Linked DNA regions of Macaca fascicularis. The protein of the gene in region 3 interacts with the protein of the main gene of each other region in a pairwise test. Links are inferred from orthologs where the notes say so. Each region holds a gene or a part of one and is shown on either strand. Other genes may lie near its edges.

Region 1 (4,610 bases), on a different chromosome or scaffold from region 3:
GTAACAGTTTTACCCTTGCCCATAATTTTAAAAATCAGGTGATATGATAGTAATAATATGATCAAACCAAAAGTAGTAGTTTACTGAAGAAAACTAAACCAGGTGCCTTGGCCCTCTTTTCATTATATGTGCTCTCCTAGGTGACCTCATCTACTCTCATGACCTCTTATCATCAACCTATACATCAATAATCCCAAAACCTTTATGTTCAGCCCCAACTTTTCTCCTCTACTCCAAGTCTGAATTTTCAACTGCTTGGACATCCTATAAGCACCTCACCATCAACATGCTGAAAACCAAATTACCTTTCCTATCATAATTGTCCCCTTTTTTGTTCTTTATCCCAATTAACAGAATCATCATCACCCACTCAGTCACATAGGTGGTTACACAGTTGACCTTGAACAACAGGGATCTCAACTGTGCAGGTCCACTTATCCTCAGATTTGCTTCCACCTCTGCCACCTGTGAGATAGCAAAACAAGCCCCTCTTCTTCCTCCTCAGCCTACTCAATGTGATTTTCTTAATAAAATGTTCTTTTCTCTAGCTACTTTACTATAAGAATACAGTATATAATACATGTAACATAAAAAATATGTGTTAATCCACTGTTTATGGTATTGCTATGGCTTTCAGTCAGTAGCAGGCTATTGGCACTTAAGTTTTGAGGGAGTAAAAAGTTATACATGGATTTTCGACTATTCAGGGGGTTGATGCCCCTAACCCCTGCATTGTTCAAGGGTCAACTGAATTAGATTCCATTCTTATCATTATCATCTAATTAGCCACCAAGTTCTTTGGACTCTATCTCCTAAATTCCTCTTCTTTATCCCTGCTGTCACTAATTTCACGCGAACCCTCATCACCTCTCACCTGTAATACTGCAATTGCCTCCTAATTAATCTCCCTATTGTTTCTCCCCATCTGATTCATTCCCCACCCATCTGACAAACCATCTTTCTAAAATATAACTATGATCATGTCACATCCTGTTTAAAAACATTTGATGGCTTCTTTACTGCCTAGAGGAAAAAGTCTCAGTTCCAAACATCACAATCCAACTCTAATGACCACTGAGGCCTTATCTTCTGCGCCTATCCCTTCATTCCCCGCTTTCTGGAAAATTTCTTGCCATGCCCTGAGTGATTAATGCTCTTTTTTGTTGCCATATTAATGCATGATGCTCTCTATCCAGAATGATCTTTCATACCTAGTAAGCTTATACTTATTCAAGAACCAGTTTAAATGTCAGCAGCTCAAATACCACTAATTCTGTAAAATCTTTTCTAATTCCCCGGGGTAGATTTTATTATTTCCTCCTTAGTGCTCCAAAGCACTTTGCAAATATCTCTGTTATACAGTACTTATCAAACTGTATTATAATTATCTATTGTATTCATCATTTTATTTCCTACTTTGTACAAAAGCTTTCAAAGACTAGATGACAAGAATATTCTTTGTATCTCCCAGTTGTGCCAAAATAATGCTTGGCACACTGCTTACTTTCAGTAAGCACTGAGGAGTAACTAGGTTGTACCTCCCACCTTATTGTGAGCATCTGTGTGCCGGATGACATTCCTCAGGAGAACTTTCCCCAGTGGAATCCGGGACATTCTTCAATCTGAAATGAATCAACAAATAACGTTTAGTAATAATTTATTTTATTACTTTATCTTTTCTTAAATTTTATAAAGAAGCATGAGGTAAAGGAAAGATCACTGAACTAGAAGTCAAAGATCCTAAATAATAGTTTTCCCTTTACCATTAAAAGAGGGAAATGCCTAAACACACTAATGTGAGATGAAAGGAGATAATGTACATTAAAGTTCTTTGAAAATGCACAAGACTGCATAAAATTAAGTGCTTTCATGAGCACCATTTTATTTAATCCTCATAACTATTTTTTATATGAGGCAAATATCTCCATCCCTATTTTGTAGATGAAGTTCCCTTAAACTTGTCATGCCCCAAGCCACATAGTCCCAGGCAAATGATGTATATCAATGTCTAGATTAAAAATCAAACCTCCAATCCCAATATTAGTTTGCAGTGAAGCAAATACGTAGATTTGAGAGTATCAGGAACCACAGGTGTCAACAGTAACAGAAACTGATGACTCAAAACATCAAATGCAAAGATGTCCTAAACTTCTCCATTTGGGAGCATTTTATTTCCTACTTGGTACGGAAGCTTCCAAAAACTAGATGACAAGAATATTTTCGTGTGTAGCTAGCACGGGCTTTGTGCAACCACCCCAACGCTCACTCACCCCTTGATCCTGAGGAAATCAGGCATCTTGTTAGTGAGACGAAGAACCACTCCATTACAAGATCTCCTCCGACCCAGGAAGCCAAGGAGTCAGGGCTCAAAGGCAGCTCTGCAGCTTCACCCGAGTCCTTCGTGAAAACGCAGCCTTCCCACTGGTTAATCTGCCCTCACCTGTGGCCCAGGCCACTGCCGCCTTTCCCCCAGCCCAGATCGACAGGCAGATCTCTCTCGCGGACTGAGGCCGGAGACTGAGCCGGCGCGGAATTCGGACAGCCCGGTTGACCCGGGCATTCCCCCCTCACGCTCCTCTGGGACGAACCCCGGGGGTAAGTTTCACTCCCCAGAAAGGATGGGAACGCTTTGGATGGCTATGGCCTTCGGTTGGGCGCCAGGAAGTATCTAGGGGGCCTGAAGCGGGGGTTGAGGTTTCCAAGTGGAAGACAGAGGAAATATCCCCATCTTTGTCACCGGGATCCCTGTCCCCCAGCGGCCTCGGAGCTCCCGGTAACCTCCCCTCCAAACGCCCTCCCCACACAAATACACACAAACACACCCATACCGTGCGCCGCTGCCTCGCGTGGCGGGGGGTAGGGGGGAAGAAGCGGTTTGGGAGAAAAAGGAGGAGACTTCCTTCTCAGGCCGGAAGTGGTGCTCCTGAGAAATAGTCCCACCAACAGGCAGCCCAGAGACTCCCAGAAGGGAGGGTTTTCAGGACACTCCAGAGGTTGACGGGTGCAGAAGGGAGGCGGGCGCTTTCCTGGAAGAGAAGTGGATCGGGCCCAACTGAAAAGCAAGCCTGGTACCAGAAGGGGGACATTCCGGAACTAGATATGAGGAGACTTTTCTGCCTGAAACTCCCCGGACCCAATTAGATGTTGTACCCAGGCTGGTTACCCTGGTAACAGGCGTCGCGGTTTGTCAAGGAGCTGAGAGAAGAGGTGGGTTTGCCAGCCTATAGAATGACTACCCGTTAGAACAGAGAAGAGGTGGGTTTGCAGACCTATGGAATGATTACCCGTTAGTTAAGCTTCCCATTTAGCGTAACCCTTACACAGTAGTTGAAGAATCTAAACCTTTTTGCCTCGTTCTAAAGATGCTGTGGGACACCTCTCCAATGGGAGAAGAGGCTCTGAAGACGTAGAGAAGTGTCCCAGCCTCTCTATTAGCTTCCTTAATCCTCGCAATAACCCTATGATAATATAGGTATTATCGTCTTCATTTTGAACAGAGTAAGAGGAATATATATATATGTATATGTATGTGTATGTGTATACACACACACACACACACACACACACACACACACACACACACACATTAATTGCTCAAGGTCATACAGCTAGTGAGAGATAGAACTAAGACCGGAATCTAGGCATTCTGGCTCGCAAGTCCATGCTTTGAATTACTAAACTATAATGAGGATTAAGGAAGTCTCATGTGGCCCTCACCCCATACACACCTCTGGCAATTTCAGAACTGGGGAGCCACCAGTCAGTGAGGTGTTGGAACAAGAAGATCAGGAAACCCAGATTTAAAATGATTGCTCTGACTTGTCAGGGTCCAAGTAGAAGTAAAGTCTTATCTGAGAGGACAATGTGAGAATTTAGGAAGAGGTACTAGATAATTAAAGAATAAGGAAAACATAAAGTGGTGCTGCTGATCCACAATCTTTTAGACACAAATGCTAAGTCCTAACTTCACCAAAACAATTCCTGGCCCATTCCGCCTCCCCAAAGCAGAAATGAATCAACAATTACACAGGGCCGGGCGTGGTGGCTCAAGCCTGTAATCCCAGCACTTTGGGAGGCCGAGACGGGCGGATCACAAGGTCAGGAGATCCAGACCATCCTGGCTAACACGGGGAAACCCCGTCTCTACTGAAAAATACAAAAAACTAGCCGGGCGAGGCGGCGGGCGCCTGTAGTCCCAGCTACTTGGGAGGCTGAGGCAGGAGAATGGCATAAACCCGGGAGGCGGAGCTTGCAGTGAGCTGAGATCCGGCCACTGCACTCCAGCCTGGGCGGCAGAGCGAGACTCCGTCTCAAAAAAAAAAAAAAAAAAAAAAAAAAAAAAAAATTACACAGACAGTTTTCTTCCCAAAGTCATGTCTTTCCACAGGCTTAAGAAAATTATTCACCACTCATCAGTCATGGAGACATCCTCAAAGGGTCTGCTCACCCAAGTTACTCAATTTTGGAACCTCCTAGATGATCTAGCTGAAAGTGACCCTGAGGGCTATGAGAAGTTTATTCAACAGCAGCTGAAAGAAGGGAAACAGCTCTGTGCTGACCCACAACCACAGCTTTGTCTACAGACCAGGATTCTGGTATGTCGAGTTGGT
Region 2 (4,605 bases), on a different chromosome or scaffold from region 3:
AGCTCTGCCTCTGCCTCCACCTCGGCCTCCCCGTCCCCCTCCCCTGCCTGGTTCAGCTCGGGGTTGCAATAGTTGATGTACTGGTACAGGGGCCGCAGGCGCTGGGCCTTTCCTGCAAAGACCCAGGGCAGGGCAGAGGCTAGAGCGCCAGGTTGTGCCATGTCAGGCCCCACAGGGAGAAGGAACAGCCCAGGGACTGCCACTCACGCTCCAGCCCCAATGTCTCTAAGGGTGCAGACACCGTGCTGGCCACAGCGTGGAGCACGGGAGCCCCCAGGCTCTTGCGCTTCTTGGCTTTTTTGTGCTGTTTGGCAGATGGTGAGGGCTCACTCTGGCTGCCCTCTGGCTCCTCCTCCTGCAGCGGCAGCCTGGGTGGCAGCTCAGCTTCAGCCTTGGGATGGGCACGAAGGCCCGGGAGGCTGAGGGACCTGAGCCAGGGACAAGAGACCTGACGCAGGGAATACCCCAGCCTGCCCACCGCCCCAGGACTCGACGCCTGCCCCTTTCCTGGTCGATGAGGCCCCAGGCCCAAGAGGCTTAGAGGCCAGTGAGCCCAGTGCCCTACAAACCCTGAAGCTCCCACTCTCCTGCTGCTCCCTACATGGGGGCTCTGGAAGAACGGGAGAGGAGAGTGATGGTAGTGACAGGGGACAAGAATCCTTCCTGCAGGAGTGCAGGAATCAGGAATGCTACTGGGGTGTGTGCCCCAACCCCGGGCCTGCAGCTCCTTCCCCTCCTCCTCCCCCAGAGCCCCCTCACTTGACAGGCTTTCTCTTTGGACCATGACGGGGCCTCACAATGGAGACCACGGGCCTGGGGCCTCTCTCCTCTAGCGCCCCGGCTTCCGGCTTGGGCCTCTCCTCCCCCAGCTTGGGTCCTTCCTCCTGGAGCTCCAGCTCCGAAGCTGCGCCTGCTGGGCGCTGGTCTTCACCCTGGGTTCCGCGGGCCTCATGGGCTGGCACCAGGAAATGTTCTTCCGCCACTGGACACTAGAGGTGACACACAGGCCATCGGTCACCATGGTCGGGCAAAGGACATAGGGATCCGTCACTGAACACCTAACATTAGACACCGAAACGGGAATAAGGACACCAGCCTGTGCCCCTCCCCGCCTGGAGGGCCCAGCCTGGCAGTTAGCGGGTCGGGGCGCTCAGAGTTCCGCCTCTCAGAGTGCTGCGGCCCCCTGTTTGAAGGTTAAACAGCCTGACGGTCACCTCGGAGGTCTCAGCGCTGCCGGGGTCCTCCGCGAGCTGTCCCTGCCCCACGACCGTAGCCTCCTGGACCCCCGGCCGCCTCTCCGCCCCTGCCGAGGCCATGGCTGCGCAGGCTCAGTGCATCCTCCACAGCTGCTTGGGGAGGGCCCCGAGCGGCTGGATGGTGGCCCCGCGCTGACCCTGGAGACGGGCCAGCAAGCGAGGGCAGAGCTGGGAAGCGAAACCCGCGACCGCGGAGCCCACACTCAGCGGAAACTACAAGCCCCAGGACGCTTTGCGCCAGGGTCAGTGGGCCCTGACCCCGGGGACGGAAGCCACGGTTGCCCGGCAACAACAACTCCCGTCGGGTGGCAGCGGCTGGCGGCAAAACCTCTCGAGTGAGCCCCTGCCCAAGTGCCGCGGGGGAGAGGCCGCGAGCGGGACCGAGAAGTGGGCTGGGGGGAGAGGTCGCGGAGGCGGCGAGCGAGGCCGGGGCCCAGGCAGGGACCGGCAGGGGCCCGGGAGTGACGGGCACGCCAGGGTCAGGGTCCCAGGCGAGGGAGGAGGCCCGGGGTTGGGGAAGGGGGCCCGGGGAGGGAGGTGCACAGCCCTGCAGGCCTCGGGGCACCGTTGCTGGGCGGTGCCGGCGGCATGTGCGAGGGCCCGTCCCGCATCTCGGGGCCCATCCCCCCAGACCCGACGCTCTGCCCTGACTACTACCGGCGGCCGGCCTCGGGTGAGTCCGCGGGCTTGGCGGTGGTGCTAGGCTCAGGGGTCGGCCCCGACTCCACCTGAGTCCTGGACTCCGCCCGGCTCCGCCCCACAGCTCAAGGGCGCCTCGAGGGAAACGCGCTGAAGCTGGACTTGCTGACCTCGGACCGGGCCCTGGACGCCACCGCTCCCTGTGGCCCCCGCATCGGTCCCGGTGCCCGAGAGATCCTGGAGCGCGGCCGGCGCGGCGTCGGGGACGTGCTGTTGCAACTCGAGGGGATCTCCCTAGGTCCTGGGGCCTCTCTTAAGAGTAAGTCCCAGGAATGGAAGAAGGGGCAGAGAGGCAATGCGGGGTGGAAAGAGATCAAAAGCAGCTGCTCTTTCCGCCCTGACCTGGGCCCAGGCTTTGCATCTCTTGAGTCTCAGTTTCCCCAACTATAAAAGGGGGAGAAATGTGCTACCTTCTCGAAGGAAGTGAACTGAATAAGGTAGTTCCCACGAAGCCCTAGCTCTGCTTCGTGCATTTGTTTGTTTGTTTGTTTGTTTGTTTGTTTATTTATTTTTATTTTTTGAGACGGAGTCTCGCTCTGTCGCCCAGGCTGGAGTGCAGTGGCCGGATCTCAGCTCACTGCAAGCTCCGCCTCCCGGGTTCACGCCATTCTCCTGCCTCAGCCTCCCGAGTAGCTGGGACTACAGGCGCCCGCCACCATGCCCAGCTAAGTTTTTGTATTTTTAGTAGAGACGGGGTTTCACCGTGTTAGCTAGGATGGTCTCGATCTCCTGACCTCGTGATCCGCCCGTTTCGGCCTCCCAAAGTGCTGGGATTAGAGGCTTGAGCCACTGCGCCCAGCCTGCTCGTGCATTTATTACCCGTCAAATTTGTTTGTTGAGTGCCCACTGTGTGCCAGGCCATATAGGTGCTAGAACACAGGGTTGAAGATAAGCATGAGCCATCATTGAGTCAAGGTGGGAGACAAAGAACAGGAGATGAATGTCATATATGAGATGATCTATGGTATACTTCACTATAATAATGGAGAAAATCACCCGGACGCAGTGGCTCACTCCTGGAATCCCAGCACTTTGGGAGGTCCAGGCAGGCGGATCACTTGAGCCCAGGAGATGGAAACCAGCCTGGCCAACATGGTGAAACCCCATCTCTACAAAAAATACAAAAATTAGCCTGGCGTGGTGGCGTGTGTCTGTAATCCCAGCTACTCAGCAGGCTGAAGTGGGAGGATCCCTTGAGCGGGGGAGGTCAAGGCTGCAGTGAGCTGTGATCGTGCCGCTGTACTCCAGCCTGGGTGACAGAGCGAGACACTGTCTCAAATAGTAATAATAATAATGGAGACAGTCATCCTGAAATACTACATGAGGAAGGGAACTCTTTCTGTAGGAGGCAGGGGGCAGGCCTGTGTGTGAACTAGTGGAAGTTGGATTGTGTGGGCCCTATGTAGGGCAGAGACTGGTGGCATCTTTTCTCCAGGGAAGGACCCTAAAGACCATGAGAAGGAGAACCTGAGGCGGATCAGGGAGATTCAGAAGCGCTTCAGAGAACAGGAGCGCAGCCGAGAGCATGGACAGCCCAGGCCCCTGAAAGCTCTGTGGCGCTCACCCAAGTACGATAAGGTGGAGTCCCAGGTCAAGGCCCAGCTCCAGGTACCTGCTCCAGGGAGCCAGAAGTATTATCCTTTTTGTTGGCCAACAGGCAGCTATACCCTGATCCGAGTTCTGGGGAGGGAGGGAACTAAGAGACCCTGGCTCTGCTGCAGGGCGAGGCTGGGGGGCTTCTCAGAAGTGGTGATGGCGGGGCTGATCCTCAGGGGCAAGCAGCAGTTAGTCAAGGGGACAGCAGAGGAGAACATTCCCAAAAGATGGAAACTCACAGACCACAGGGCACGCAGCAGTGGAGATGCCAGGTGTACAGTTCACTGTGAGGAAAGAAAGGCGTGAAGTTAGGCCAAGAAGTCAGCTGGGCCCACATCAGGGGCCACAAAAGCCACTTTTCAGTCCTTATTTCTGAGGACAGTGGGAAGGGCAGGGGTATGGTGGGGGGCTCTGTCTCGGGTAGAGAGTAGCACCATCTTTCCATCCAGGGACTCAGCAGGAGGAGCAGGAGTGAGAGGAAAGGCAAGGTCACACAAATGTGTCTGGGCTGAAGCATCTGTGGGGCTCCCAGGGGGTGGGAGTGTGTCCAGGAAGCAGATGGAAATTCAGGCCTGGATCTCAGGAGTGAGACCCAGGAGTTATTGACGATCAGGTTGAGGACAACGAGACCAAGGAAGTGACCGCCTGGATTTGAGGACTTGGAGGCCAGCCGTCAGGAACGTTGCGGGGCTAGAGCCAGGAAGCTTGGCTAGGAAGGATGAAAGAGAGTGGTAGGTGGGCCAGTACTGAGGTGGAAGGAGAGATGGTTTGTTGTTTTCTTTTTTTTTTTTTTTTTTTTTTGAGACTGAGTCTGACTCTGTCGCCCAGGCTGGAGTGCAGTGGCCGGATCTCAGCTCACTGCAAGCTCTGCCTCCCGGGTTTTTTTTTTTTTACGCCATTCTCCTGCCTCAGCCTCCCGAGTAGCTGGGACCACAGGCGCCCGCCACTTCGCCCGGCTAGTTTTTTGTATTTTTTAGTAGAGATGGGGTTTCACCGTGTTAGCCAGGATGGTCTCGATCTCCTGACCTCGTGATCTGCCCGTCTCGGCCTCCCA
Region 3 (4,722 bases):
ACAAATTTTTATTAATGAATGAATGTTAAATGAATGTTTAGAATTATTAGAATTCTATTGGGTGGATGAGGCCCATAGAAAACTCTTGAGACCAATGTAGCAGGATTCTCAGTGAAAGACTAAATTTGTGTACAGGATGTTTTCCTTCTCTAGCAAAGAGAGGTGCTGGAAAGGCTTTCATGATCCATAAGAAGGGAATTGTTTTGGAGGGCAGTGCTATAGCACCTCTTCCCCTCCATTCACCACATAAAAAATTCAGTTAGAAAATAGAGAGGAGTCAGCCTTCTTGTGCTTTGAAGATTGTGAAAGACACTGGGGATCATCCATCTAGCATCCATTTTCCTCTTCTCCTTTACAGGTCTCCACCTTGCAACTCATGTGACCCTAAGAGCACTGACACCATTGCCAATTCCAATTGTCATAGCTCCCTTTCACTTCTGGAACCCAGGCTTAAGCTATCTGTACATTTCCCAGGCAGTTACTGGTAAAGAGGAAGAGTGCGTACCTGTGTGACCTAATTGGCTCAAAAAACCAGAAGGAAAGGTTTTGGATGAAAAAGAAAGCATGTGGTCCTGATTTCTCCAAGTAGACATCTGGAAAATCACGTTAGTATGAATTTGAAGTCTACCCTTTTTTTTTTTTTTTTTTTTTTATACAACAGAGCAGAGACTAATAGCAACTGGGTCCTTGTTAACTTGCTGAGCCACTGAATTAAAGTCTCCCTTGCTTCTGGGCTTTCTGTTATGCGAGATAAGCAACTTCCTCATTTTTTAGGAAGACAATTTAACTCAGATTTCATATCACATGCATCCAAAATAATCATAACTGACCCAAAGATGTTTGGCCTCTACAGTTAGGGCAGCCATGCTCAGAAGAGTATGCAAGGGTACCCTATTGTCTTGGAAAAGGGAAGCACTGAGACTATTTGCGATTTGAGAACTGAAAATGCAAATCTGCTAACCATCGTGAGAGTGAATATCCAGGTATAGAAAGCACAGTGGGTGGGCGTAGGTTGTGGTAGGGACATGTTTGTATGGGGCAAACACAGAGATTAAACTTAAGTGTAGTTCCAGCTGCCTGGAAGAATGCTAAGAAGGGTCTGAAACTATTGAGCTCCAAGAGCCCTTGGACCTCCTGATGAGAGACCGTTGGCTGATGCCCTCGATGGGACATCCCTGCTGGCTCCTGTGGGATCTGCATCTACGCACACCTACATCATTTGACTGATTTGAAAAGACAGGTTGTCAACAGCGACACCATGTGGCTATAAGATACAATCAAAATGGTGGACATTTACAGCCTGAGGTAGGGCCTGAAGCTTCGTCGAGATGTGGAAAATGCTGAATCGGAAGAAATGTCATCAACAAACATTTATTGGGGTCCTCCAAATGTCAGCTGCTACAGTGGTCAGCCAGGTCTGGAACATCGAGAACATGCTGACCCGTACCCCAGCAAGAGCTCGTAGTAGCGGCGGGGTAGGGGGCGAGAGAGAGGGCAGTCTCTGGAGGCCAGGTAACCCAGGCTTCACTTTCACCTACGGCCACAAGTATGTCTGACATCTTCCAGGCAAATAAGGCTCCATGTAAGTGACAGGGTACCTAAGGAGAGCGATGGAAACGCCAGCTTGCCCACGACTAGCCGACGCCTGCGTTTGCGATAAGCCCCGCCCCCAGTAGCTGAGCCAACCGGAGGGTGCGGGGCGGACCCAGCTTCCGGGTGAGGCTGGAGAGAATCGTTTGGGGGCGTTCGCAGGCTAAAGAGGGGCTGGCCCTCGACGCGCTCGGGCTCGATTGGCCGCCCTTCCCCGGCGGAGGTAACGGTCGCGGAGGCGGGGCCTGATGTAGTAATCCCAGCCTAGCCGGGGCCGGGCTGGCTGCTGGTGGGAGGCGGCGACTGAGGAAGGTGAGTGGCGCTCGGGGCTCTCAGAGGTGTAGTCGTGAGCCCCTTCTCGGAGCACCCCGGACTTGACCTCACCTGGGCCTAACAGTGGTCAGACTGACCCTTGTCAGGGAGGAGCCGCCTGGGATAGGGTCGCGCCAATTACAAATCCCTGCGTAAGGGTTTGGGGATGGGACAAACCTGCGTGCTAGCCCCAGCTCCCCAGGCTTTGTGTTCTTTGGCTTCTCCTTTAATGTCTCAGCGCCTCGGATTCTTTATTTGTATACTAAAGCTGGTAATTCTCGCCTTACAAAGTGGTTGTGTGGGTTAAATGAGGCAGTAAGAGTAAAGCTTAGAATCACAGCGGGCACAGGTTCGATTTAAGCTGTAGGTAATTACTCCATCCCCCAAAATCGACCCGGACTGAAGCGCCCGTTTTGTGGCAAACAACCGCGAAGGTGGTTTGGGGAGTGAGGACTCGGAGCAGAAGGGGGCGGTTAGGCGAATAGCACAGGTGAGTATCTCTTTCTCTGGTTTATTAACCTCATTCCGGATTCAGGAGACCTCTGACTTTATACAGGGCCTAATAGGAGTTTTTCAAGGTGAAAAATGTCGGAAGGCTAAGACACCTGTAACAGAGAGACCTGAGTTTCCTTTTTTACTGCCACTGTTTTTCAATCAGTGTTTCAATCACTGTTAATATTAAACAGGCCGGGCGCAGTGGCTCACGCCTGTAATCTCAGCACTTTGGGAGGCCGAGGTGAGCGGATCACCTGAGGTCAGGAGTTCGAGACCACCCTGGCCAACATGGTGAAACCACCATGTCTCTACTAAAAATACAAAAATTAGCCGGGCGTGGTGGTGCGCGCCTGTAATCCAGCAACTCGGGAGGCTGAGGCAGGAGAATCGCTTGAACTCGGGAGGCGGAGGTTGCTGGGAGCTGAGATCGTGCCACTGCACTCCAGCCTGGAGAGCGAGGTTCCGTATCAAAAAAAAAAAAAAAAAATATATATATATATATATATATATATGTATGAATATTATATTAAACACTGTGCAGGCATTATCCATATTGGTTTCAAGCCTCTGCAATGAGTTTTGTACTTTAAATATTGCCAAGTAGACTCTGGCCTCCCCTAACCCTGCCTTTTGGGGAAGAGGTGGCTGACTTGGAGTTTTCCCTACAGCTTTTGCTTCAAAGCAAGGTTCTGCCGCTTCATGTCACCTCTCGCGAGACAGAATGATTTGGTTGAGATGACATTCCATTTTAACTCTTTCCTATTTGGGGTAGGTTCAACTCTTTCTTAGGAACATTAAACAGCAAGTTGCCATATTTTCAGAATAGAGCTTTTGCATTTAATAAGGAATAGAGACTTCGAAAGGGTTACATGTTCATTTATTGCAGTAATTTGAAGTATATGCTTTTGAAGACGCTTACAGATTTTGTTGTGATTCAGTTGAGAAGGAACAGTTACTGGCCATGGTTTATTGTCAGCTCCCCTCCCCGACCCCAAATGGTGAAAAGATAATTAAATTTTAAGGTATGGAGCATGTTACAAGGGACTTCAGACCTATAAAGGGCAATTTGGCTGAAACACTCGGGAAACCTAGAAAGTGTCAGAAGATACAATTATGTTTTTGCTTTTCTATGCCTGGCTTACTATGCCATGTACAAGACAACTCCTACCCTCTGACTCCTACCCCCACCATCTTATTTTAAGTGTATTATGACACTAATTAAAGCTGTAGCTTCTGTTTTGGCCCTAGAAGGCATTTGGTCTCTTCCTGTGACTTTAAAAGTTCCAGACCTTTGTCCTGGAAGTAGGGACAGCCTGTAGTGGGGAAAAGGCTGCTGCAAACTATTGGCCTGTTAATTTCATAGAATGGACCTCTGAAAAGGAGGGTTTGGTCACAGGTGCAAATGAGGAGTAGTTTTGTTCCTGTGTTTGCTTTTGTGATCAGTTGTAGTTTGTCTGAGGATGCTTCATTTTAGTATCCTTGCAAATGAGAATATCCTACCTGTGGAGCCGGAAGTCAGAATTGATGATAGATGATGATAGATTTGGATACCCAGCTAAATGTCTTAGCAAGGTAGGGAGAGGAAAGATAAGGGGAGAGAAGAGAAGGGAAGAGGTGTATGGTAGTGAGCTGGGAAGGGCATTAGCAGTTATTTCAGTTGTGCCTGGTTTATCTGTGATTACCAGTACCATGGATGCCTGCTCTGGGAGTAACAGAAGACCATTCTTACTAGGAAGCTGAACATTTCAAGATTTTCTTCTTTTTATCTTTTTGAAACCTAGATGAAGATCCAGTTTCAGACATGAGACTCGTTGGGTGATCATTTCATTGAGATCAACCTGAATGACCAGGTGTAAAGTGCAAGAGTAGTATGCTATGACTGAGGTATGTCTAATGTAACGGATGACTCCAGATGTTGGGAGACCACGGAAAAGTATGTAATTTGTTGAGTACTATACTAGGTTCATTACATATATTTCCTTTGGACTTCCTGATAATCCTATCAGGTAGATATTTTACAACTTAGCAAAGAAGCTGAAGCTCAGAGAGGTTAAGTACCTACTTAAGATAACACAGAAAGCTGATCACCAACTCTAATCACTGTCTCCATCCTGCTGTGTGCCAGGCAATGCTTTATGTTCTTTCTGTATTAACTCTCCTAATCTTTAATTTGTGAGCTGAGTACTTTTATTATCCTCATTTTATGATGAGGAAATTGAAGCACACAGAGATTAGTACTGTACTCTCCTGACTGTGTGGCAGAATCCATGATTTGAACCCAGGCAGTCTGGCTACAGAGCTCTCCAGGTTGAGTATCCCTTATCT
Region 4 (3,812 bases), on a different chromosome or scaffold from region 3:
GCCTATCTGCAAACAACTCAAATCTGCTGTTGAGCCCTAGTGAATTTTTTATTTGTTCTACTTTTCAACTTCAGAATTTCTATTTGATTCTCTTTTGTAATTTTTGTCTCTTCACCGATATTCTCTATTATTTGATGAGACATCATCCTCATATTTCTTTTTTTTAGACAGTCTCACTGTGTCGCCCAGGCTAGAGTGCAGTGGCACAATCTCAGCTCACCACAGCCTCTGCCTCTTGGGCTCAAGCAGTCCTCCCACCTCAGCCTCCCAAGCAGGTGGGACTACAGGCACACACCACCATGCTTAGCTAATTTTGTTAATTTTTTTGTAGAGCTAAGGTCTCGCTTTATTGCCCAGGCTGATCTCAGACTCCTGAGCTCAAGTGATCTTCCCGCCTCGGCCTCCCAAAGTGCTGGGACTACAGGTGTGAGCTATGTGCCTGGCCAATTTTTGTATTTTTAGTAGAGATGGGGTTTCACCATGTTGGCTAGGCTGGTCTCAAACTCCTGAGCTCAAGTGATCCTCCTGCCTTGGCCTCCCAAAATGCTGGGACTACAGGTGTGAGCCACACACCCGGCCCTCCTACTTTCTGTTAGTCCTTTCAAGTGGGATCTTCCAAAGAACTACCAGACATAAGAAAACAAATAATTACAATTTTTTTCATAAATGAGGTCTATTTTTCTATCTCCAGTTCTGGGGATGCACGCCGTTGTTTTTTGAGGCTACAGCTGAGCTGGGGAGCAGAGGATAAAACCAGAGCACATTGGCCGGGCGCGGTGGCTCACGCCTGTAATCCCTGCACTTTGGGAGGCCGAGGCGGGCGGATCACGAGGTCAGGAGATCGAGACCATCCTGGCTAACACGGTGAAACCCCGTCTCTACTAAAATACAAAAAATTAGCCGGGCGCGGTGGCGGGCGCCTGTAGTCCCAGCTACTCGGGAGGCTGAGGCAGGAGAATGGCGCGAACCCGGGAGGCGGAGCTTGCAGTGAGCCGAGATGGTGCCACTGCACTCCAGCCTGGGCGACAGAGTGAAGACTCCGCCTCAAAAAAAAAAAAAAAAAAAAAAAAAAAACCAGAGCACATTAAAAAACGACAAAATTCACCGTTCTTACGGTGATTCGAGATTTATGTATCCCATTTGCTATCCGTCTCTTCTGCTATGAAAGAACTGCTCCAGGGCAGAGATTTCTTGTGAGTTTTGCTCACTCGTGTATCTCCAGGGCCTGGCACAGGGCAGGAGCTCCAGGATTTTGTTGACTGAGTTTCTGGCTGTGAGCCTGTGATGCTGAGTGCACGAACGTGTGGGCAGGTGTGGTTGTACAGGTGTGGGTTCAGATGGGAGTGCCGGTGAGGGACGTGGCTGTAGCTCTTCAGACCTGGGGTGTGATCAGGGCCTAGAGGCCACAGCCAGGATGCCTCCCTGTCTCCCTGCAGAAGCGGATGCAGCAGATCATGGCCCACTGCTTTCTGGCCGCCAAGTCCAAGCTGGAGTGCAAGCTGGGTTACTTTGACCTCATCGGCTGTGACTTCCTGATTGATGACAACTTCAAGGTGCTGTCCTGGGTGGCGGGGGCACGGGAGGCAGATGCAAGGAGGCAGGGGCCATCTGCACACACCCTAACCACACTGGCAGGCCCCAGGCAGACTCTGCAGTCAGCCCTGGGGATGGATGTATCCACGAGGCTCACCTCCTATGCAGCTGGGACGGACCTGCACCCCCTCCTCAGGGCAGCCCCTCAGGCCAGAGCTTCAGACCCTCAGAGTTTCAGTGGACAAACAGGGGAGCAACGCTATAGAAAGGAAGCAATCTCCCAGAGCCACCTGGCTGAACGAGGACCAGGGCCTCTGCCCTGCTGGCCCAGTGGCCTCGAGGTGGGGAGGGTCTGACTGGCATCTGGTGCAGGTATGGCTGCTGGAGATGAATTCCAACCCAGCCCTGCACACCAACTGCGAGGTCCTGAAGGAGGTCATCCCAGGTGTGGTCATCGAGACCCTGGGTGAGCCCTCCAAGCCCCCACCCCACACCCCCACAGCCTGCCCAGTCTTGAATGCCCACCCGCCCTCTTCCCAAGTTCGGACCCCCACAGATGGGGCTATTCCACCTTCTGTGTGGCAGCACCGCCCCAGCCCCCACCTTCCCCACCCCTCACACCCTCCCCACCCCTCACACCCTCCCCGCCCCTCACACCCTCCCCGCCCCTCACACCCTCCCCGCCCCTCACACCCTCCCCACACCTCACACCCTCCCACCCTTCACACCCTCCCCACACCTCACACCTTCCCCGCACCTCACACCCTCCCCACCCTTCACACCCTCCCCGCCCCTCACACCCTCCCCACACCTCACACCCTCCCCGCCCCTCACACCCTCCCCACACCTCACACCCTCCCACCCTTCACACCCTCCCCGCACCTCACACCCTCCCCCCCCACACCCTCCCCGCCCCTCCTGCTCCTCCCAGTCCCAGCCTCTGCCCCCCATTTACCCTCTCCCCCCCACCTTCACCAGACCTGGCACTGGAGACCTTCCAGAAGAGCCTGCGTGGCCAGAAGATGCTGCCTCTGCTGTCCCAGCGTCGCTTCGTGCTCCTGCACAACGGAGAGGCCGACGTGTGGCCGCGCCTGGGGGGCTCCTGCAGCCTCCGCCGACGGCTGCCTCCGCCCACCCGCCAGGCCAAGTCCTCCGGGCCACCCACGCCGCGTGCCCCAGACCAGCCGGGCACCCGCAGGCCTGTGCCACCTCCCTTGGCACCGCAGCGTCCCCAGTTGCCCGGCCCCAGTCCTGACCCAGATAGCGCCCACGATGGGCAGCCCCAGGCCCCGGGCATAGGCGACAGGCACCCGGAGCAAGAGCCTTCCCCGGGGACAGCCAAGGAGGAACGCAAGGAGCCCGAGAACGCGAGGCCCTGGGGCGGCCACCCACGCCCCACACCCCACGCCCCAGCCACACTGCCCGCCTTCAGGGACCTATAAAGGCTACTTTGTTACAAACATGGTCTCTGCAGCGGTCCTGCCACCTCAGCGCCCCGAGCCCATGCCCACCGGGGTCGCCCCCCACCACGCCGGCACTGGCCTGAAAGATGCTCCCCTGGGACTTCCCCAGCCCCCAGGCCCTGCCCCCAGGCCCCAGTAGCCCCCACTCCATGGCTGGGCCCTGTCCCTGAGGAGACTGTGCTGAGGGACAGGGGTCTCCACGGCTGGGCCCAGTCCTGGGGGGCTGTCCTGAGGAAGGGGGGTCCCCACAGCTGGCCTATGCTCCCTTCCGGGCTGCCCCATCCTGGGCTCCCGCCCATCACCCTGAGCCCCTCAGCACCAGGACCCTCCTGCAGCCCTGTGACCCCACGGCCCCCATGGCCTGGCCTGCATCCGCCATTGCCTGGTGTCCCCAGGAAGGGTCTGGACCCCATGGGCCCCTCTGAACCCTGCTGGAGCTCCAAAGGAGGACCCCCCTTGAGCCCAGGATGGCTGCCGTGGGCACCTACAGGGCTCGCCCTAGCCCGCCCGGCACAGAACCTTCCTGGGCCTTCAAGTCCCAGGCCTGGCGCTCCAGCTCCACGAGCCCCCAACCTTCCTACAGTGGCCCCAGGACTTAGCCAGCGGTGAGGGGCACAGGGCAGCTGGCCCCAACAGGAGGGTCCCACAGAAGACTTGCTGAGCTCACACTGGCCAGGCCCCAGTCAGCCCTGTGTGGCCGCCGATGGTTCTATTCCCTGTGGGCTTGGGGGTTTGCGAGGAGAGCTCTGGCAGCCCAGGGCCTCTGAGGCGTCCACCCTACCCACCCCCTCAGCCACCTCCCACCCAGAGAGCTAA
Region 5 (3,977 bases), on a different chromosome or scaffold from region 3:
GGGCTTGTAAGAATTATCACTTTTATTTGGAACAGAGCTGGGAGATGCCCATACCTTATCTACTTTGACTTCTTCATTTTACAGAGAAGGAACCTGAGATGGCAGAGGCTCCTTGTGACAAACCTCTATTAAATTCTCCCCACAATTTCCAGAGTCACAGTTCTGAAGCATAGATCTGATCATGTCATTCTCCTGCTTGAAACTTTTTGATAATTCCTCACTGCTACAAAGTCAAGCCTAGATTACAAGCCCTTTGAGACTGGCATCTATCTTTTCAGTCTTACTCCTCACCACTGGCTACCCCAGTCTCCATTCTGCATTCATATCCAGTCCTGTGAAGTTCCTCACACACGATATTATTTCTCATGCCATCTTGCCTTTGCATACATGGTTGCTGCTGGCTAGAAGACCACTACTTATACCTCCTCCAAGACTGAACTCAGATGTGACACTTCAGTGGAAAATTCTGGCCTGCATCCCTCCAAAAGCTTGGCATAACCAACTGCTTCTTCCTCTGTAACACTCTGTTACATCATGCTGTAATGCAATTTTTGGTTCTCAGCTAGTCTCTAAGCTCCTTGAGGGCATCTTGTTTTTGACTCCTCAGTGCCCAGGCATAGTCTGGCATACAGGAGACATGCAAGCATCGCTGACTGACTAGATGTGTAAGTCTCAGAGCAGGTGAATTCACAGCAGAAATGGGTCTTGAAATTGCAGACTATTTTGAAAACATAAATCAGATACATGTCTCCTAGTTCTGAACTCTTTGTACTAGATCTTTAATGAGCTCATGTTAATCCACATATTATAAAGAGCTTTTAAAGTTAAACTTTTATGTTTACCATTTAAAATGGCCCAGACTAAGTATTTTGATACATGCCCTCAGTTCTATGGGTGGATCAGAGAGAAAAGACCAAATGGCCACCAAATGACCCTCAAGCAAAAGTCATCTAGTAAGCTGATAAGCCATTAAACATTTTGAAGAAAATCCTACCTCTGTATATCATTAAGAGTACAAAGGGCTACTTAAGAGAAAATATTCTGAAATAACTATGTTCTGTCCTTTTAAGGATACATTTTATTTTATACTCCACAAATAACTTTGAGTTACAAGCTTACCTGGAACCGTCACTAAGAGAGGCTTCCCTGATGACCACTGGCTGAACTTCCTTTAAATGTAATTTATCCTGGTACATTTTCTCTAATTTTGCCATAGTTTCTAGGTGGGCAGCCTTCAACTCTTCTACTTTCTTGAAATACTCCTCATTAGAGTGGTGAATACCAGGAAAGTTCACAAAGTCCTCAGAGCTTATTGGTGCATGTTCATCCACCCCAGAAAAGCTGGTGTTCAAATCAGCCTGGTGGGGAGAAAACACCTGTTATATGGTGACTGGAGCTGAAAGACAAATTAAGCTGACACTGATCCAAAATGCTGCTTCCTAAAGAGTCCACCTAGTTAGGTTATACGTTAATTATGGGTTATGCATATAGAATGAGTTACAGGTTATTTGTGTGTACATTTTCCCCAGTGATATTTTAAGAACAAGAGGGAGCGAGACCAAACTGTCAGAAAATAAATGTTATTTAATCCATTTGATAAAGGATGGTTAGATTCCCAGATCAACCAACAAAAGGTATAACAGGATAGAACCCAACAATTGTTTACAAAGTATTTCTATAAGGAGCCTCCTGAGTTGTAAGTTTTTTTTTGTTTTGTTTTGTTTTTTTGAGACAGAGTCTCGCTCTGTCGCTCAGGCTGGAGTGCAGTGGCGCCATCATGGCTCACTGCAAGCTCCGCCTCCACGGTTCACACCATTCTCCTGCCTCAGCCTCCCGAGTAGCTGGGACTACAGGCGCCCGCCACCGCACCTGGCTAATTTTGTGTATTTTTAGTAGAGACGGGGTTTCACTGTGTTAGCCAGGTTGGTCTCGATTTCCTGACCTCGTGATTCACCCGCCTCAGCCTCCCAAAGTGCTGGGATTACAGGCGTGAGCCACCGCGCCCGGCTTGAGTTGTAAGTCTTAACTGAGATGAAGAGGAACACAGTTCTTCCTGCTGCAAACCAGGCAACCACAGCCCAATGCTCTCCCTTCAGCTGCGCTTCTGAAGTGTGCCTCCAAGGACTGCCAGTGAGAGAAGGCAGGGAAATAGAGGGAATGGAGGCGGGGACAAAGTTCTCAGTGGCTTATCAAGGAGCCAGGGAGAAGCCCTCCTCACAGTGGGGCAAGACCTTGGGAGGGAGTAAGAGGACATGGGAGGGGGTAGGAGGGATTTTCAGGGCAGCTGCTCCTGTGGGCACAAAAGCAGTAGCTCCCATGGGTGACAGGGACTTTGGGATGACAACAAAGCAGAGAAGAAAAAATGGTGTAATTATTCAACACACAGATCATGTTTAGAAGGGTCTGACTGGCCTTTCTCCCTCACTCCCTTTACATACCTTTCAGGTTTTTTTTTTTTTTTTTTTTTTTCTGAGACAGAGTCTCACTCTGTCACCCAGACTGGAGTGCAGTGGTGTGATCTTGGCTCACTGCAACCTCTGCCTTCTCCTGCCTCAGTCTCCCGAGTAGCTGGGATTACAGGTGCCCACCACCACACCCAGCTAATTTTTGTATTTTAGTAGAGATGGGGTTTCACCATGTTAGCCAGGCTGGTCTCGGACTCCTGACCTCAGGTGATCCACTCACCTCAGCCTCTCAAAGTGCTGGGATTACAGGTGTGAGTCACTGTGCCCTACCCTTTCAGTTCTTTTAATTGAAGCAACTAAAGAGATAAAACCCCATTTTCTCTATAAATATACAATTTTTATTATGTTTTCAGTTGAGAAACAGTTGAAATTATTTATGATACTATGCATAAAAGACTGCCAACCACGGTTTTAAATTTAGTCTACTGTCTGGAACAGACGCAAAATGAAAAAATTTGCTACAGAAAATTATAGATCCAATCTGATAAGACTCTAGAAAATAAATCTGTTTAGCTTCTCTCAAAAGAAAAATTCAGAAGAGTCAATTATAAATAGTAGTTATAGATGTGGTGTTTTTGTTTCCCATTGGAGGCTTCTCAGAAGATATGGTGTTTTTTTAATGGGCTAAAATCAGTGTATAAGAGGACAATGTTGTACTATTTGGGGTAACTTAGAGAAAACAAGTTTTAAAAAATCAGTCTTCAGGGGCCAGGCGCGGTAGCTCATGCCTGTAATCCCAGCACTTTGGGAGGCCGAGGCAGGTGGTTCATGAGGTCAGGAGATGGAGACCATCCCGGCTAACACGGGAAAACCTCATCTCCACTAAAAATACAAAAAATCAGCTGGGCGTGGTGGCGGGCGCCTGTAGTCCCAGTTACTCGGGAGGCTGAGGCAGGAGAATGGCGTGAACCCGGGAGGCAGAGCTTGCAGTGAGCCAAGATCATGCCACTGCACTCCAGCCTGGGGCAACAGAGCAAGACTCTGTCTCCAAAAAAAAAAAAAATCAGTCTTCAATAGAACTTATATGTAGAAATTTGCTACTAACAACTCTATGAATCAGAACTGCTTTAAGTATGTCAAACAATTCAATTAAGAGAATTCTCTGATATCTTCTGCTGTTTCTGTATGTGCTTCTCACCATAAACTTCTTACCTGTAGGATGACTACTTTGTGAATTTCCTCATTCATTAAATATTTGGGGGCTATCTTGCAATCAGCTAGCTGCTAAAAGGTATGTCAGTTTTTTTTAAACTCTACCTTTGAGGCCAGGTGCAGTGGCTGACACCTACAATCCCAGCACTTTGGGAGGCCGAGGCAGCCAGATCACTTGAGGTCAGGAGTTTGAGACCAGCCTGGCCAACATGGTGAAACTTGTCTCTACTAAAAATACAAAAATTAGCCGGGCATGGTGGCACGTGCCTGTAGTCCCAGCTACTCAGGAGGCTGAGGCAGGAGAGTCACTTGAACCCAGGAGGTGGAGGTTGCAGTGAGCCAAGATCGTACCACAGCACT
Region 6 (4,567 bases), on a different chromosome or scaffold from region 3:
AACCCCAAGTGTGCTCAGCCCTGGGCAGGAGGAGAATGTGTCACTTTAAGTCCTTTTCTCTTTAGCTGAGTCATGGTACAACCACGATGGTCTCCAAAAAAAGTGTCTCTAGCCCTCCACAACCAGGGAAAAGGTCACCAATAACACAGAGCTCAAGCAGTTGGGGAAGTGGGTGAAAGGGAGAATAAAATGTCTACAATATAACTGAAGTCTCTTTGCACGTTCATCTACGTTGAAAACTTTTATCCCAAGACAAACTTGCCCCTGCATTGAGCTGTGTTGAATATAGCTGCATTCAATGAAGTTAAATCTGCCATTTCTGCCACTAGTGAAGATGAATGTCAATACACTAAACTCTACACTCTTTTATTTTATAAGAATTTAGAGTTCAGAATATCTTCACTCAATGTGTGCCCAACTCTAAAGCTGTGAGGAATAATATCTGCTCTGTCAGATCCTTGATATAGTATCAAGCAAGAATAATGACACAGATTATAGGAGACTCATTCTATTCTCTGTATTAACAAAATACAGTACTCTTAAGTGTTTTATATGACTCTTAAAAAGTATATAACTGACGCTGATTGACTCCTACTACTTGCCAAACATTATGTTAAGTGTTTTATGTCAATAGTTGTATTTAATCCTCACAACTCCATTATGTTGACGCAATTTTACATTTGGGGGCACTGAGACTTAGAACAGTTAAATACCTGCCCTGAGGGCCATAATCAGTAGGCAGTGAAGCTGAAATTCAAACCAAAATTAGTATAGCAACAGAGCCTGTGCTCTACTCACTCTAATTTGACTCACATCCCAGCACACAGATCTACAGGACACACATCCTAACATAACTTAAAATGTGCATAAGAAATTGTAATTTAGTTATGTGTACACTTTTGGCAGAAATTAACGAATAAAATATTGTGTGTCTCAAATTCTGGATCACTTCAAACTGGAATTCCCCCAATGATATCACAAAAGAGCCCTCTGATGACCCCCAAAGAATCACACACTGGAAGTTTCCACAGATGCCAACTCACTCCTTGGAGTTGAGTGAGTAAAGATAGATTGAGTGGTAGTGACTTAGACTAAACTAGTTGATGGCTTTTATTTTTCGGGTAGCCAAAATTCTTTTCCCCCGGTATCCAAGAAATATTTTCACAGCAATGACTTAACAACTTAAATGGAAATATTGAATACACTTTTTTCTTTAAAAGAAAACTGCATATCCTCAGCTTCTTAATCTCAAGCCACAGTGAATACTAATGCTAGCATTGGGGCTGTTTTCTGAGCCACTGGCCTACCCATCTTGTGCTTTCCTTGTCTTTAATTTAATTGCCTTCCTTGTCTTTAACAAATGACTCTGCTGTCATTTGTTTCCTATTGTGTTGCATCTGATGCTTTTACTCAATAAACAAAACTAGAATGTGTTCTGTGATGTTGTTTTTGTTGAGCACAAAATTCAATACATTATCAAGAGAAATGAAACTGAAAGGAGCAAGTCAAGATCGCAGACCTGCATTTTCTTCTGGGGCCACAGTTGCTGATAAATGATGCAAAAATGCCCTCGACAATCTATTCCAGCTACCTTTTGATCTGAAGATCTATGAAAATGAAGTAGTTAGGGGAGGTGGTAGGGTAGCTGTAAAAAATTTTCAATTGTTATTAGAATAATTTTGCATCCGCAAGCTGGCAAACACTATTCACGTCTCTTTATATTGCTCATTTTATGGTGCTCCTAAACAAAGTCTCTTAAAAAAAGGAGAAGAAAAAAGAGGTCTGACTAATGGAACAAAAGCTACATCACAGTCTAGTTCTATCATGTTTTCTCATCCTTAGTAAGATGATGGTTCAATTTTGAATAAAGATTAATTACTAGAATGTGGTTAAAGCATAGTCTAGCCAAATTAATTTTAAAAATGAGAGTCCAGCTATTTTTATCTTATTCTTCACATCCCAGATGATTTTAATCAGTAAATTTCATAGCAGTGAATATTTTTTAAAAGTATGCATGGCCATTGGCTTTTATCCATTCGACATCTCTCTGAATTAAAGTATCAATATTGGGAAACATAACGAGTCTCGCAGAGTGACCTTGCTGACCTATTTTTGACAACATGATTTCGGCTCCCTCATGGCTTGTGATGATGGGTTCCTGGTAACATTATCCTTTATGACAAATTTAATCGAAGCAAGTTAGACTTTTAAAAACAAGTTGTGTATATAAGCTTAACTAGCTTGCTATGCCCTCTTTGGTGCTTGGAAAACCAGGCACTGGGTGAATGTTTTTCAATTGCGTCTATAACTTAGTTTTTCCCACCTACTGACATAAACAATCCATCTTAATCCTCCCATTCTAGCTGCATATCGTTTTCCAAAACTAAAGCTATATGCCCCAAAACCTTTGCCTTCTGTCATGTGGCCGATGACATCTTCCACTGACAGAATAATAAATTTACACTCAACGCGCATGGGGAACCTGAACACATAAGCTCCCCACATGCAGAACTATTTCCAAGTGACATTCCCTTCTCTCTTTCCCTCCTACTTCAGTGATGCAGAATACCCATCATACAACAATTAACAGTCCTCCTTTAGGGGGATGCTGAATGGAAAGAAAAGAACAGGAGAAGGGCACCTCAATCCAGGCAACGTGTTAACAAAAACCCCAGAGCAAACCCACAGTCCTTGACAGATACCCTGATAAGATTCCCAGGACACAGTACTGAGGAAAAGCAAATTCTCCAGTGGGACACATCTCACATGCCAGTGGCTCCTGGTTCACCCAGCCACATGATCTGTGCCAAAATTCAGATTTAATGCAGTGTCCTCCTTAGTCCCAATGTAATTCTATTTCTAGTTCTGCAAGCCTTAGCTCTGCAAGGCATCAGTATTCTCTTACCAAAAAAAAAAGTATTAGCTTAAATTCTGGGCCATCTGTCACTCATATCCTTTGGTTAAGGACTATACCCAGTAAGGTATTTTCTGTTGAAGATGCCCACAGCAGTATCCACCCAGGAACCTTGAAATGGAAGCAGAAATGATTGCATGGGTAACTTACCAGCTCCTGAGGTCTGAATGGCTGCAGCAGCCCCACTCCTTTACCTGATCCCTGCTCTCTCTGTCTCTCTCCCTCTCTCTCTCCCTCTTTCTCTTGTGTACAGATTGCAGGGAACTTAAAGAACTCGCAGGGACAGTGTTTCGAATGACTTAAGAAAGAGAACAGGAACAATACTTCGTTCTCTTTTTCTCAGATGAGTACCTTCGGGAAGAAGGAAGGAAGGGAGGGGAGAGGGAGGAAGTCAACAACCCTTTGCTTTCCTGAAAAAAAATAAGGAAACAGAAGATAGACATCTCATTTTCTCTTAAACAAAATATTGGAAGGGGTAAAAAAAAAAAAAAAAAATCTTTGAAAAAAGGAATTCCTCAAATATGCTGTCTGCCCTGGGAGTTTTAAAGAGATGAAACGCCTTAGTGGCCTGGCCTGTCCAAACAAACGGTGTTCCAGACAGGCAGGCTCTCCTGAGCCCGCAGCCTCTGCTATCTGGTTTGCAGAACTGACACAGCCGAAAGGGAACAAATCATGTCATGTCGACTTAGAGCAAGGGAGAGCTTGGCCTGTTGTGCTAACCGAGGTAAACCTGCAGCCTGTAAGACAGTGTCGGGGCTGGTCAGCCAGGACTCCTGGCTTTTCCTAGGCCCTTTGAAACTCCAGCATTGCTGCAATTCCTCACTGACTCTAGATCCTCAGAGTTTTTCCAGGATCAAATAGCAGATTTATGCCCACCGAACTTTACGCAGTGGACTCAATCCAGCTTCCATCACTGATGGACGAAAAAGGAAAAGAAGCAACTAACCGCAACTGCTGCCGGACATGGTTATCTCAGATCTGTTGTTTATATTATTCTATCCTCTACATTCCTAAGGCTTCTTGGATTTAATCACCTCTGGAAAACTGGAAGGAGCTTTCTAATTTGTTTTCAAAATACTGCGAGGCAGCATAGGGCTTAGATAAATCAGCCACGGTGTTTGAAAAAAGATGGGGGAGGCAGGAGCAGAGAAAATGGAGGGCGCACCCTTTATCAAGGTAGAAGACTTGGGGCTTCAGCAGGCAGGCATGAGCTCTGCTTAGGTTTAGTTGCATTTAGGAATAAGCTTGGTTTTAACTTCTCTGATTTGTGTTATGTCTCTTGTGTCCCTCATTCATCTGGTTAGGACCATTTTCACTGTGAACAGGAACCAGCAGCTATGTAGACCTTTGTGGCAGCAAAAGAAAAACCAGCCTTACACTACTTCCTCATTTCACTCAATTGTGAAAAAAACGGGGTGGACAGATACACCTGATTGCAGAGAGTCATGAAAGTAAGTTAAGGGGAAGAATGATTCTGATTCAGTGACCCTGTAAGATTTTGACTGAGTCCTTATTGGCCTATAGGATTGTTTTTATTCTGACACATTTTTTCTATTATCTATCTATCTATCTATCATCTATCTATCTACCTATCTATCTATCTATCTATCATCTATCTATCTATCCATCCATCATCTATCTAATCTAGCTACA
Region 7 (3,898 bases), on a different chromosome or scaffold from region 3:
TATGCCTCTTTGCAATCAGAAAAACCCCAACTTTCAAGCCAGGCAAAAACTGATTTGATTCAACTTATATCAGTACAGATTAGTTTTGCCTGTTTTAGAACTTATATAAATGCAATCATGCAGAAAACAATTGTGGCTGGTGTCTTTATAGATACAATTTTTTTTTTCATTTTTTTAAGATTCATCTATGTTACTGTTTGTATCAGTAGCTTGTCACTTTTTTATTGCTTAGCAGCTTTAAAATGTATGAATACATCACAATTTGTTTATCAGTTCACTTGTTGGACATTTAGATTTTTATCAACTTTGGGGCTATCATAAAGGAAATTTCTATGAACTTTCCTATGCCAATATTTTTGAGAAAATATGTTTTAAAATCTGTTGGGAAAATTCCAAAAAGTGGAATTTCTAGGACATATGGTAAGCCTAAGTTTAACTTTTTAAGAAACTGCCACCAAGTCTTGGAGTGGTTGAACCCCTCACCAACAATCAATGAGAGTTTCTATTGTTACTATTTTCAAAAGTGCTTGGGACTGTCAGACATTTTAAGTTCAGCAATTATAATGGGTGTGCAGTGGTTTTTCATTCTGGCTTTATTTTACATTTCCCTGATAGTTAATGAGGTTGAGCATCTTTTCATGAGCTCGTTGGTAATTTGTGTATGTAGTTTTGTGAAATGTTTATTCAAATCTATTATTTGCCTTCTTGAGTTTTCGAAGTTCTTTATATATGCTCTGAATTCAAACCCACTGTCAGATACACATATTGTGAATATTTACTCCCAGCTTCTCACTTCATTTTCTTAACCATGTGGTTTAAATGGTAGTTTTTAATTTTGATAAATCCAATTTCTCATTTTTTTTTTTGTGATCTGTTCTTTTTCTGTCCTAAGGGATTGTTTTCTCAAAGATTATAAAGTTTTTCTCTATGTTTTATTCTAGAAGTTTTCTAATTTGAGTTTTTACATTTAGGTTTATGACCATTTTGAATTAATTTGTGTATAGTATAGATAAAAGGCAAGGCTCCTGTTTTTCCTTTAAGAATTCTGTTATTTCAGCACCATTTGTTTAAAAGACTATACTTTCCATATCGAATTACTTTGACATCTTTGTCAAAAATTAATTAACAGGCAGAAGGAGGTGAATCCTGGGAGCCAAGGGCAGAGAGAGGCAAGTCCCCAGAGAAGTGGGAATGGCCAACAGCTCCCTGAGAAGATGCCTTCCGTCCTTCCTGGGCAGGCAAGGGAAGTCTCAAGAATACACAAGAGAAGGGAGAGTGGCAGAGCCCAGGCTGGGGATGTTAAAAGGGACTCACGGTGAGGATGGGGGCGGGCCCGAAAGTCCCACCTGACTCCAGGCTGCAGGAGGGAGCGTGGGACGGGGGCGGAGCCGCTGGCGATGACAACAGCCCCACGTGATCGGCCAACACTGAGTCTTGCCTCGCTCTGGCGTCGGAGCCGCCGTCGCTCGCTCCTTTCTCGGCTGTGGTACCTGTTCCCGGTGGCCCTGAGGACGTGCGGGCCAGGTGCGGCCCCGAAAGCAGGAAGCGGAGGGGGAGCAGGTAAGGGAGACGGAGGGGGTCCCTGGGGTTGGTGTGGGGGAGCGGCCCCGGCCTGCGGATGCCCCACCCCCGAGGAGCCGCGCTGAGACGCAGCCGGTGCACGATGCAGCCCCGGGGCCCCGCCGCGGGACCGCTAGCCTTTAGTGAGCGGAGGAGTGCCTGGCCCCGCGGGAGCCGGCGGTCCTGAGGCTGCGGTCCTGAGGCTACGGCCCTTCTGAAGCACCTGCCTCCGCCACCAGCGCAATCTTTTCTGAGATCCCTGCTCCGCCCTTCTTGATGCAGAAAATGGTGGTCAGCTTGGGGGGCGGGGCGGCTGAGGCGCGGGGAGAGGGCGGCGAGGAGGGCCCGGGCCCGGCGCGGGGAAGGGGCCGGGTGGCGGCGGGTCCTCGCTAGTGTTCCGCTGCAGCAGCCTCCACTCTTCCCACCCCGGCCGTCTGCAGGTCTGCGAGGCTAAGTGTCGAGGCGACGCACCTCACGTCGAGAATCGGGAGGAGGAGGAGACTGCAAGGATAGGCCCAGGTCGGTGCGAGGGACGGTGGCGGGGCGGGGGTCAGAACATGACGAAAGCCCAGTCTGGGACCCCAGTCGGTGCCTTCACTGCTACGCTTCGCAATCCCCCACCCCCACCCCTTCTTCGTCCTCCATTTTGGCGCCTGCAGAGGCCTGGAGATGGATCTGCAGAGAAGATGGTGGGCTTTGCGGGAGAGAGGGGCGCGGACTGCCCCCCCCCACCCCGAGGGTACACGGGGCCTCTCTGATGGGAAAAAAAATGAAATTTAAAAAAGGCCTTTGAAATCCAGGGCTCTGAATTTTGAAAGGTGGGTAGTCGGGCCTCTGTCCTCGGTGCTGATCAGTTCACCAAGAATTGAGTCCGTTTTCTCTCTGTCTCATAGGAGTAATGGAGTCCAAAGAGGAACGAGCGTTAAACAATCTCAACGTGGAAAATGTCAACCAGGAAAATGATGAAAAAGATGAAAAGGAGCAAGTTGCTAATAAAGGGGAGCCCTTGGCCCTCCCTTTGAATGTTGATGAATACTGTGTGCCTAGAGGAAATCGTAGGCGGTTCCGTGTTAGGCAGCCCACCCTGCAGTATAGATGGGACATAATGCATAGGCTTGGAGAGCCACAGGCAAGGATGAGAGAGGAGAATATGGAAAGGATTGGGGAGGAGGTGAGACAGCTGATGGAAAAGCTGAGGGAAAAACAGTTGAGTCATAGTCTGCGGGCAGTCAGCACTGACCCCCCTCACCATGACCATCACGATGAGTTTTGCCTTATGCCCTGAATCCTGATGGTTTCCCTGAAGTTAATAGGGAGACCCCAGCTTCCTAAACTTACACATTTGTGGTGTACCTTTGTCGTAAACCTTTTGATGTTACCTATTTCTTGTGGGTCTCCTATTACCAGCTTCAAACTGAATGTTGTTTTGACCCAGTTTGTAAGTTTCTGTCAGCAGGGGAGTTTTACCTACTGCATGGAAAGATGCTCATTATATATTGTGAAGTTAATAAAACAGTTTTAAAAACCATTCTCTGCATTCTTTTTTACTTTAAATCTTAAATATGAACATAAACAGTCATATATGTACACATATATACACATATATAGAAAATCGTGTTTATCTTTGTGGTAGAATTAAGAGGGAGTTTATTCTTGCGTATCCATAATTTCTTATTTTTTAAAATGGAACACGTATTACTTATAAAAAGCAATGTGACCACCTTATAAAAGCAATGTGAGCACTTAATAAACACTTGTGACAGAATCTCAATTTTAACTTGCTTCTGGGATCTCTTTTTAGAAATGTTTGAGAGACACATCTCTTTGAAGATCATAATATTTATCAGTAAGATGAAGACAATCACCTCCCAGGCTTATTGTATGGACCAGAAAAGGTAATGAGGTTGTAAGCTTTCTCCCAAGTTCTTGTTCTTACTGACATGCATGACCCAACCCTTTAGATATTCCCTTCTGTTATTAGAGGAAATCTCCAAGGTGAGGTCTTCCCTATATTCACAAGTCCAGTGGGCTAAGGAGTAGGTACTTTCATTCCTCTGCTGCTGTGCTCTATTCTCATCATCTCCCCTGGGTATTACTCTGTTTTCTAGGTTTTGCTCCCTACACTGGCTCCTTCCACTGCAGATGTTCAGGAATCCTCAAAGTGAGAAAGTCCCACCAATTTCTCTGGAATTTCCAGTGGATTGAATCCTTGCTCTACTCTACAAAAGAGTGAACAAATCCCCTCTCCCTGCTTTGTTTCATGGAAAAACATTGTCTAGTTCTTTCCTTACAGGTAGTTCTGTCCCAGGAAACCTCCTCCTCAGTATAGCAGACTATG

What was found.
Region 1: the proteins of CEP70 (region 3) and NKAPD1 interact in binary tests that used the Homo sapiens proteins (3 or more experiments, as listed by UniProt). The two-hybrid records come from large-scale screens. The link is inferred for Macaca fascicularis from reciprocal best matches to the Homo sapiens genes CEP70 and NKAPD1.
Region 2: the proteins of CEP70 (region 3) and ENKD1 interact in binary tests that used the Homo sapiens proteins (3 or more experiments, as listed by UniProt). The link is inferred for Macaca fascicularis from reciprocal best matches to the Homo sapiens genes CEP70 and ENKD1.
Region 4: the proteins of CEP70 (region 3) and TTLL10 interact in binary tests that used the Homo sapiens proteins (3 or more experiments, as listed by UniProt). The two-hybrid records come from large-scale screens. The link is inferred for Macaca fascicularis from reciprocal best matches to the Homo sapiens genes CEP70 and TTLL10.
Region 5: the proteins of CEP70 (region 3) and FAM161A interact in binary tests that used the Homo sapiens proteins (3 or more experiments, as listed by UniProt). The two-hybrid records come from large-scale screens. The link is inferred for Macaca fascicularis from reciprocal best matches to the Homo sapiens genes CEP70 and FAM161A.
Region 6: the proteins of CEP70 (region 3) and ZNF366 interact in binary tests that used the Homo sapiens proteins (3 or more experiments, as listed by UniProt). The link is inferred for Macaca fascicularis from reciprocal best matches to the Homo sapiens genes CEP70 and ZNF366.
Region 7: the proteins of CEP70 (region 3) and protein BEX2 interact in binary tests that used the Homo sapiens proteins (3 or more experiments, as listed by UniProt). The two-hybrid records come from large-scale screens. The link is inferred for Macaca fascicularis from reciprocal best matches to the Homo sapiens genes CEP70 and BEX2.

The regions. Positions count from the first base shown.
Region 1 is NC_088388.1:111,004,758-111,009,367, reverse strand, and holds the start of NKAPD1 (uncharacterized protein NKAPD1), read right to left. Parts: upstream 2,889-4,610; 5' UTR 2,271-2,888; intron 1,623-2,270; 5' UTR 1,615-1,622; coding exon 1,546-1,614; intron 1-1,545. Other genes in the region: PIH1D2 (PIH1 domain-containing protein 2), read left to right, coding at 4,419-4,595.
Region 2 is NC_088394.1:63,699,650-63,704,254, reverse strand, and holds the start of ENKD1 (enkurin domain-containing protein 1), read left to right. Parts: upstream 1-1,536; 5' UTR 1,537-1,844; coding exon 1,845-1,929; intron 1,930-2,019; coding exon 2,020-2,214; intron 2,215-3,390; coding exon 3,391-3,563; intron 3,564-4,605. Other genes in the region: C20H16orf86 (uncharacterized protein C16orf86 homolog), read right to left, coding at 1-112, 208-784. UniProt on the Homo sapiens protein: Microtubule-binding protein which regulates microtubule organization and stability. Promotes the stability of astral microtubules and facilitates the proper orientation of the mitotic spindle.
Region 3 is NC_088376.1:41,433,869-41,438,590, reverse strand, and holds the start of CEP70 (centrosomal protein of 70 kDa), read left to right. Parts: upstream 1-1,815; 5' UTR 1,816-2,392; intron 2,393-4,178; 5' UTR 4,179-4,272; coding exon of another isoform or gene 4,273-4,281; intron 4,282-4,722.
Region 4 is NC_088375.1:233,578,084-233,581,895, reverse strand, and holds the end of TTLL10 (protein polyglycylase TTLL10), read left to right. Parts: intron 1-1,436; coding exon 1,437-1,553; intron 1,554-1,905; coding exon 1,906-1,999; intron 2,000-2,511; coding exon 2,512-2,975; 3' UTR 2,976-2,993; downstream 2,994-3,812. UniProt on the Homo sapiens protein: Inactive polyglycylase.
Region 5 is NC_088387.1:60,076,220-60,080,196, reverse strand, and holds part of FAM161A (protein FAM161A), read right to left. Parts: intron 1,359-3,977; coding exon 1,120-1,358; intron 1-1,119. UniProt on the Homo sapiens protein: Involved in ciliogenesis.
Region 6 is NC_088380.1:76,445,326-76,449,892, forward strand, and holds the start of ZNF366 (zinc finger protein 366), read right to left. Parts: upstream 3,191-4,567; 5' UTR 3,065-3,190; intron 1-3,064. UniProt on the Homo sapiens protein: Has transcriptional repression activity. Acts as a corepressor of ESR1; the function seems to involve CTBP1 and histone deacetylases.
Region 7 is NC_088395.1:109,688,148-109,692,045, reverse strand, and holds protein BEX2, read left to right. Parts: upstream 1-1,429; 5' UTR 1,430-1,836; coding exon 1,837-1,851; intron 1,852-2,000; coding exon 2,001-2,079; intron 2,080-2,453; coding exon 2,454-2,845; 3' UTR 2,846-3,088; downstream 3,089-3,898. UniProt on the Homo sapiens protein: Regulator of mitochondrial apoptosis and G1 cell cycle in breast cancer.